Linked DNA regions of Tribolium castaneum. The protein of the gene in region 2 purifies or fractionates together with the protein of the main gene of each other region. This does not show direct contact. Links are inferred from orthologs where the notes say so. Each region holds a gene or a part of one and is shown on either strand. Other genes may lie near its edges.

The links.
Region 1: the proteins of deltaCOP (region 2) and beta'COP fractionate together in Homo sapiens (co-fractionation; 5 studies listed by BioGRID and IntAct, with this or other methods). This does not show direct contact. The link is inferred for Tribolium castaneum from reciprocal best matches to the Homo sapiens genes ARCN1 and COPB2.

What each region holds. Positions count from the first base shown.
Region 1 is NC_087398.1:12,749,791-12,754,007, reverse strand, and holds the end of beta'COP (coatomer subunit beta'), read right to left. Parts: intron 3,148-4,217; coding exon 936-3,147; intron 888-935; coding exon 776-887; intron 725-775; coding exon 689-724; 3' UTR 573-688; downstream 1-572. UniProt on the Homo sapiens protein: The coatomer is a cytosolic protein complex that binds to dilysine motifs and reversibly associates with Golgi non-clathrin-coated vesicles, which further mediate biosynthetic protein transport from the ER, via the Golgi up to the trans Golgi network.
Region 2 is NC_087394.1:32,202,784-32,207,385, reverse strand, and holds the start of deltaCOP (coatomer subunit delta), read right to left. Parts: upstream 3,000-4,602; 5' UTR 2,847-2,999; coding exon 2,844-2,846; intron 2,735-2,843; coding exon 2,695-2,734; intron 2,637-2,694; coding exon 2,413-2,636; intron 2,355-2,412; coding exon 2,175-2,354; intron 790-2,174; coding exon 578-789; intron 531-577; coding exon 369-530; intron 320-368; coding exon 109-319; intron 62-108; coding exon 1-61. Other genes in the region: hfw (protein halfway), read left to right, coding at 4,464-4,511. UniProt on the Homo sapiens protein: Component of the coatomer, a cytosolic protein complex that binds to dilysine motifs and reversibly associates with Golgi non-clathrin-coated vesicles, which further mediate biosynthetic protein transport from the ER, via the Golgi up to the trans Golgi network.

The DNA.
Region 1 (4,217 bases), on a different chromosome or scaffold from region 2:
AAAAGTCGCTCAAACTCAGTGACCAACATTAAAAACTTAAAAAACACGCGGTTATTAAAGCACTCAAATAAATGTTTTTTTTTTTGGTTGGTAACAGTTTAAGCCTTCTTTTTAATATTTGAATCCTAGATTATAAACAACGTGTTTTAAATCAATGTTTTCACTATTTTAAAACACGCTTAAGCAACGTGTTTTAAATTAAAATGTACCAGCAAAAAAATTAATAACACTTCCGAAAACGCTTAAACTTCTCGGGTGTCTAGGTATGCAGCTCTCAAACTTAAAGCTTGTGTTTTCTCACTCGTATTATAAATAACTATTTTCTCATGTTTCTTATGAAGATTTTAGTCGTCAGTTTTTCTTAGGCTGATAATAGCGCAAAGCTCAACATTTCTCAATTTTTTTTCAAGTAATTAAAGAATTGGTTGGATTTAAATTCATTTAAAACAATTTGACGTCGAGACGGTATAATACTCTGCGTACTATTTTTTGGGTTCAGAAGCAATTTTGTCTTATGTTTCGTCTCCTAAGTAATAGTCATCATTAATTAATAAATAAAAAATAAAGACCCATTGAGAAACTGTATGTAACTTTAATTCTTATGGAATACCTACATAAAATACTTGACAATAAAAAACATTAACGATTAAATCTCGGATTAAATATTAGTATTGGATAATTATCCTTATTAATCACTTAACAAATCATCATCAATATTGATATCCTAAAAAAAAACTGTCAATATTAAACCTCAGACGTAAAGAATGTCTCTTACCGTGGTGTCTATATTATCATCAATGTTAACTCCCTCCAAATCCAGATCAAGATCATCTTCATCCTCTTGCTGCAATCTGGGCGGCGCTTTCATTTCACTCTGAACCGGTTGGCTAAAAACCAAAATTAACTCAAAAACTACCAACAACCCCCCAACCAACCTAGTCTGCGCCACTGGCACACTGAACCCTTCGCCCCCTTGCGCCTTCATCTCTTGCACAACATTTCTCTCATGATTCGGCGTAATTTTCTTCGCATCTTTGGCCAACGGTAACCCTTTCCTCCCCATACTATAAAAATGTTGAGCAGCAATCGCATCATTCAAACCCGGGAACAAATTTTCGTAATCCTTCGGATCGGCTAAACTCTGCCCCGCCTTTTCATTCGTCGTCGACAACTTCGCCTTCCACAAGGACACAACTTCGGATATCTTATCGGGCAAGTACGACCTAGCGAAAAACGCGGCTTCGGGCAAACGCCCCGTCGAAATCAAAATCTCCAGACACTTGTCCAAATCTCCCAAAAGGAAAAACGACAAGAAAGCCAAGTTGTGTTTGCCTTCAGAGTGTGTATTTTCGCCCAGTGTTTTCACAAGTTTTTCGTCACCGGAACTCGTAGCCAGGAGAAGGAGGCCCCCATAGTCCTGCGCCCTTTGCATGCACTCCTTGGCTAGTTGGAGGTTGTTAGTCGAAGCGGCTAATTCACCCAATTGGCTCCACTTTTGCGGATTGTTCGCTTCTTGGGCCAGAGTTCGAGCGGTGTTTAAGTCCTCCAAGGCTAAGGCTAGTTCGAATTTGTGTTCGGGGTCCGTGCTCACAGCAAGGGCCTGTTTTTTGAAGCCTTGTTTTTCCAAAAAGTGGGCCACTCGAGTCCGGTGTTCCTTCGGAATCGAGGGTAATACTCTATCGGCTGTGGTAAAGTCACGACGCATTACTGCAGTTTGATACTCGAGTACCGACAATAATAACTGATAACTGACAACCCCTAACTCCTTATCAGCGAGGTAGAGCCGATCGTCACGCGGGACATAGCCGAGGACGTACAAAGGCCGGTCCAAGTGAGCTATGGTTACAAGCTCACCCCCAACGAAATAATTAATTCGGTTGACGGCATTCGTGTAAATGAAACAATCGCCGACCCACAACCCCGTCCGAACTGTCTCGTTCACTTCCCCCAGGACCTCAAACGCTGACTCAACCCCGTCCTCAGCCACCTGTCCCTCGTCCTTAGCCTTCTGGACTTGGTCCGAATCGTACGATAAGATATAATAACTATCTTCGGTCGCAAGACACACCAATTTGCCGTTATCGGACCAGTAGATCGCCCTTGGCTGGATTTCAATCCTTCGGATTAAATCCAAACTATCCCAATCGTAGAACGTCAACCCCGCCACTGACTTAACCCCAAGTAACCACCCCCCGAAAATCCCTTCGGCCCCAAAATCCGGTTTAAAATTCTTCTTCTCTTTGAAGTTTTTATAAATACGGACCGTAGACCCCGCTTCCCTAATCGCATATTCGCTCGAATCTTGCGCCCAAACGAACTCCTGAGCCGCCCCAAAGGCCTTGTTCCGCAACGCCATCGCCGTGTAAATAATATACTCCCCATCGCCGCACACAACAACAAACCGGCCGTTGGGGTTGTGTTGGATCGTCTGGGGGTAGATCTCGCAGGCCCCCATGTCTTTCACAGCCACTGGGAGCCGCTCCCCGTCTCTGACCTCGGCCCCCTCGGGCAAAGCCTTCAGATTGGCTTGCTGCAGCTCCGAATGTCTGGCCCAGATTATTTTGCCCCCAGTGGCGTCCATGCTAACTGCCGGCTCCTCTCGCCCGATTTTGACCAAAATACTGCCCTCATCATACCCGAAAACTACGTTGTTTGAGCCTTTGAGGCAGCAAATCGTCCAAACGCGTTCGAAGCCGTAGTTGAGGCTACTTTCAAGACGGTGTGTGTTAGCGTGCCAGACTTTGACAGTGCCGTCTTCGCTCCCTGTCAGGACGATTGGGAGTTCAGGGTGGAAACACACCGAGCTGATGTTTTGAGTGTGGCCTTCGAGGGTTTGGACGCATGTTTTGTTCTGGTAGTCCCAGATTTTGACAAGACGGTCGTCGGCGCCTGAAATGATGTAGGGTTTGTCGCCCCCGTGGTAATAATCGACGCAATTGACCCCCTTCTCGTGGCCTTCGAGCGTGAAATTGGGGGTGGAAGCACCCAGTTGCCACACTTTCAATGTGCGGTCGAGGGACGCGCTTACGAACGTGTTGTTGTCTTTGGGGTTGATTGCGATTTGCATTACGTAGTGAGAGTGGCCTTCGAAGACTTGTTGACAGGCCCAGGCTTTCTCCCAGTTCCATAATTTGATAAGCATGTCATCTAGAGGTTTCATATTTCGCATTGTAATACAATAGCAAGTGTAAAATTATTCAAAGCCAGTGGATATACTAATGTAGCGACCGGGGCAACAAAAACGATTGTACATTCTATCAAAATATAAATTAAAATTGTGAACACATGGAAAAGTGTCAGATTTCCTCGCGTTTGAAAAATTGGTAAATTAAAACAGTAAATTCGGTGATCATCTAATAGTTTCACACACCGATCAGGTTTCATTCTGGGTATCAGTGTTTATATGTACAGACACCACGAACCTTCAAACTGTGCTCCAATCACGTAAAAAATAAATCAGATTGCCCTAATACAACTGAACATTGCAATGAGATAGGCTTTTAGATTACACAGAAAAAAAAATCAATACTCTTACGGATTACTCTTACTTTTACGGACAGTTAAAGGAAGGTGTCAAAGTTTAACATTCAAAGAAATGTGAAGTTATTTACCGTTTATCTAAATAAATTGAACAAACATATAACATCAACTTGCAGACGACAAAAATTGGATGCAACGTGACATATCTCACTAATATTTTTTCCATTTTGAATGAAATGAATATTTCATGAAAATTAACAACACATACTTTGAAAGTTAATAACAGAAATGGAGCAATGATTCAATGCTCGAACTACATATTATGGAAAATATATGAAAATAGAAACTATTTCCAATGCCGTCAAAAACTGCATGATTTCTTGGTACTAAACGAGCCTTCTCTTAACAGTGCCCTTCAAAAATTGATCGTAGAATGTAGAATATGAATTAAAAATATCAAGAATTTAAATTTAGAAGATGTGCCGTTAAAAGAAAAATAATTATGTTCTTTGTATATCAAACTGAATATTCATTGTTTTCAGCAAAAAAGACATTGGCAAGTTAAAAAACAACTTTATTATAAATAATAGTACTGAAAGCACTTATTACAACAGTGAAAACCGTTCCTCTGTATCTGCTCTCTAACTCAAGTTATTTCGATTTAAGGCTGAAATTATGACGTCATAACCGCTTATCAAGCATTTGGTCCAATATTTAGATCAAATGGTTTTTGACTG
Region 2 (4,602 bases):
ATTTCAGGACACCGACGTCTGTGTGCAACGGGAATGGTTTGGATGGTTGTTTGAGCCCAATCTAAATTAACGAAATTAATCAACAATAATTTTTTGGTTTGTTTGTACTTGGGAACGCAGTTTGAAAAGTTCCTTGTCTACATTGGGGTGAGTTTGGAGCTGGATGCCACGCGTGTCTTTATTTTCCAACTGGACACGAATTCGCCCCCACTTTTCGTCCCCAATGTGCAGTGTCACCAACCCCAACAACTCGAATTGTTGCACACCGCCGTCACGGCCCATTCGAACGATTAGTTTTTCCTCCAGTCTCAAGTGAACACTGGAAATAATTCAAGTCACTTTCTACTCTATTCTGTTTATTTTCTTACTCATTAATATCGGACTTGATCGCTGGTGTTTTCATTCCCCCTTGTGAAATACTGTTATTAACTGGTGCAATGACATTTTCGCCTTCGGATTTAAGCTGGTCTACGAAAGACTCAACGTCGTGGCCTTTGCCACCCAGTTTCATTCCTCGAGTCGAAGGTTTCCTATTAAATCAATTTAAAAAAAAATTTTTTGGATGTTTTTAACATACTGAGGAGCGGAGGAATAAGCTGGTGGTTTGATATCGTTTGAAATATTGGCAACATCGCCGACTGAAGGGGCTGGAGTATAACCAGATGAGCTACCAAAGCCTCCACTGCTACCAAATGATGGTTTGACGCCCTTTTTGTTGGCTTCCATTCGCTGGCGTTGCAATTCTTTAGCTTTCTCACGCATTTTGTTTTTAGCTTCGCGTTCTTGTGTCTAAAGAGGAGTCAGTTCGTAAATCAGAAATTACATTGGTTTCGAATCTATACAAACAGCATGCCTTAATTCAATTATAGGAAAGGGCTCTAAAAGAAATATTATGCTTTCTATCAAATGTTAGATGTCTCATGTCTTCTGTTTCTATTTTATTCGCCCTAAGACCTCCGTGAGGAGGTTTAAAAGTGCAGAAATATCGGAAATGGCTTTCTATGCCCAAGCTAAACATTCTGTCTGAATAAGATGTTTTTCCTTTCGTGAAACTTTAAATCTTGAATTTATTGTAAATAAAAGCAATTTAAAAATTTAATAACGCTTGTCTTTAAGTTTTCATAGTTTTTAAACCAGTGGATAAATAAGTGGGTCGTAAAAAATTCAAAAACTACACATACAAAAAAATAAACATTTTCTTTAATCACACTGCTAGTAGTTTTTCCAAAAAGTAAATAGTTTAAGCAAAAAAAAACACGTTAGATTTCATTCTCTTTATTCACCTGGTAGGTATATCAACAAGTTATACAAACAATAGCATAGTCTCTTTATGTTGATGTGAAACGGAATATTATTATGGTATTATAAGAACTCTAGATTTTACAGCAATTCTTTTTATGTTCATTATACCATTATTAATTTTCAACATAAAATCCATCAGGGTAACAAAAAAAAATAGTGAGACAGGTATTAGCGATGAATTCGTTCACTTAAACGTTAGAACAGCTGATCAGTGATCACTTACCAAATTAACTGTTAAATTAACTTTTAACAGCAAATTAATTTTTATTTCACCTTCTACTGGGTCACTATGAAATAATGTGTCGAAAAATTTATTATATCTGATTTTATACCTCAAATAAAAATTTAAAATTGGGAGGAATTTTACTTAACATCTTAAAAAATTTATTGGCAATACTGAGTTATTTGCTTTATTACCAAAATTACTTTAAGAGCTGTGACTAACACAAAATCTTTGAAAACTTGTCATTTTGTTTATTTCTTTCAAACCGCTTTCATTTAAGACAGAATCCAAAATCTTACCGGGAAATATACTGAGTTACATGGTTAAAAATTAAAAGTCAGTATTGCCATCTGAAATTACAACTTCTTGGCTTTAATAATTTTTAACCAAAAAATTCCCTTTTTTTGTCACTGATGACAGAATCCAAAACCTTAACCAGAAATATACTTCAGTTACATTGTTTAAAATTAGAATTCAGTATTGCCAACTGGAATTACGACTTTTTGGCATTACAATTTCTAGAACTGTTGTTAATTTATTTTCTGTGAGGCAATCTAATCATGAAATAGCAAATTTGAAATAATAGCCGTGTCCGTTGTTGTACAAACTTTGATAATAAATGATTTTACCAGTTTAGCAATTTTATTACCTGTCTGACGGCCTGATAGACCCGCTCTTCGTGTGAATCCATCTCGACAAATGTGCGAATTTGGCTCAAATTGACGCTTTCCCTGTACCCAAGAGCAACAATCTCATCAAACGCAAAAATGAGGGAAAATGCGTTTTCCGCAATTTCATTTTCTTCCAATGAGCGGCAATATTCGGGAATCTAAAATAATGACAATGTGAGGATGTTTTTGTGGCTTCCATGGGTCTGGACAGCTTACCACTTTCGCAAACAACCTCAGAGTTTCTAAATCTTCCAAAATGTTGCTAGCTCTTGTGGTAATCAGGAGCATGTAAAGGCGCTCAAGTGGCTGATATACATATCGGACCGAGTCGGTCTCTACAAAGGTGTGTTGTGTTCCTGTTGGGATAAGTTTGGGGAAAGCCGCCAGGAGACCCTCAATGCGGGCTTTGGTCATCTCAACAAACTGCCGAGAGACTATGGCTGGAAAGGCAGAGAAAGGTTGCAACACATGGTTCGGTGGTTTATGTGGGGTACTTACTTTTACCGGCCTTAGTGCAGACCGCCGCTGCTATGAGCACCTGAAATCATATGTTATAACGTGAGAAAATGCGTAAAATGGCAACTTGGAAATTTTAAATTGGAATTGTGAAAGGTTGGATTTGTGTGGTGTGTGAAAGATTATCTCACCATTTTAGAGACTGTGAAAGGTCTGTTGCTGTTATGTTCCTAAAAACTAAAATAATATTTTACAAAACATTACACCCTATTAATTTTTTAAGATGACGTTGACTTGTGCTTGCTGTTGAATGAGAAAAACAGTGACGTGACCGTATTCAGTCAGCCAACCTTACGCCGATTCACTGCACCAGCTCTAGGCGCAAAATTCGAAAATGCTCCAGTTTCTACTCATAAGTTACTTAAAATCAAACTAAATAAGTCAATAACTGCTCTATTTTTATATTTTTTGTTGCTTCAGCTATTTAGTAATTTGTTCCTACTAAAATATAGCAATACAGGAATGTGAAAAAAAGCAAAAAAAAACGTAATTATTTTAGAAATAAACCAGATAATAAATTGTATCTAACTAAAAAAAAATATTTTCGGTTTTTTATTATCCACTATGGCCTAAGAATATTTCAGCAAACTAAATTGTCTTAATAGATTATAGTAAATTATGATATTGTAAAGATATGTATCTGAACAAATTGATTGAATATCAAAAAAAAATTGCGGCCTAGAATTACAAGTTATTTTTATTTCTAAGGTGGGTGGTTTGGGTTATTTGAGTATTAAGTATAGCTAGTGCAATAAAAATGATTAAATAAAATATCGTGATTAAATTGCAAGTATTTTGAAAATTTAAATTTTTTTTAATATCAAACATTCCAAAATTTTTATCTTGGCTACCAGATCACGAAAATATAGGCCAGAGTTATTTTTTATTACATTCTGATTAATAAGTAAAAAATTTTAACCATTCTTTGTCTATCATAAAGTCATAAGATAAGGCTATGAAAAAAACATAGTATTTTCCTGTATGCTACTGCAAATGTTAATTAAAGATAGAAAACAATACAAAAATGCCACAGTAAAGTGTCAAATTTCAAAAATTTAAGATTAGAATAATATTAACGTGTGTTAGTCTGACTTTTGTGCGATATATTATATTATTTTCTCATTTTTTAAAGGTAATCAATGGTAATCAAAAAAATTGTAAATGTGAGAAAAATAAACAACAATAATTTTTTATTAACACAATAATTTGTCGGATATTGTTATTCATTCGTTTACTTAATTTTTTACACTTTAGGTACGAGTATTAGCAAGAAGCTTTTAATTACTTTAAGCTGATATAATCAACAAATATAATCAGCCAGCACGATTAACTGTTATTTATTATCTACCTGTAAACCATTATTAATAGTGCGTTTGGTAAATATCTCAAACTAAATAATTACTTTACTTTATTACTCTTCTTTCGATTGGCTCTTGAATTTTCCTTCAGTTTGCACATCTTGTTGAGCAATTATTTGCTGGCATTTTTCTGACGCAAGTGTGTTTCAGTTCGATATTTTCCAATACCCCGATTAGTTTGAAAATTATCGTTTAGGTGGTTACAGTGTATTCAAAAATTTGTACATAGACTGCACTGAAAACTGTAAATCCATCATAGGAATGTGTTAAAATTGATGATTAGGTACTGAGTTTGAAGCATTTTTTATTTCATGAATAAAACATTGGTGGTAGAGGATTTATAATTTGTTTGTCTCATCAAGAAATCAATATGTTTGTCAATTGACATGAATAATGTGCAGTCACAAGCTCACAAGACTACTGTTACTACACATCAGTTTAGTGAGTGTTTTTTTTTTAATCATACTTTACTTTAATAATCAACAAATGTTCCTTTTTTTGTATAAGTGATTTAAGCAACAGAACAATAGAA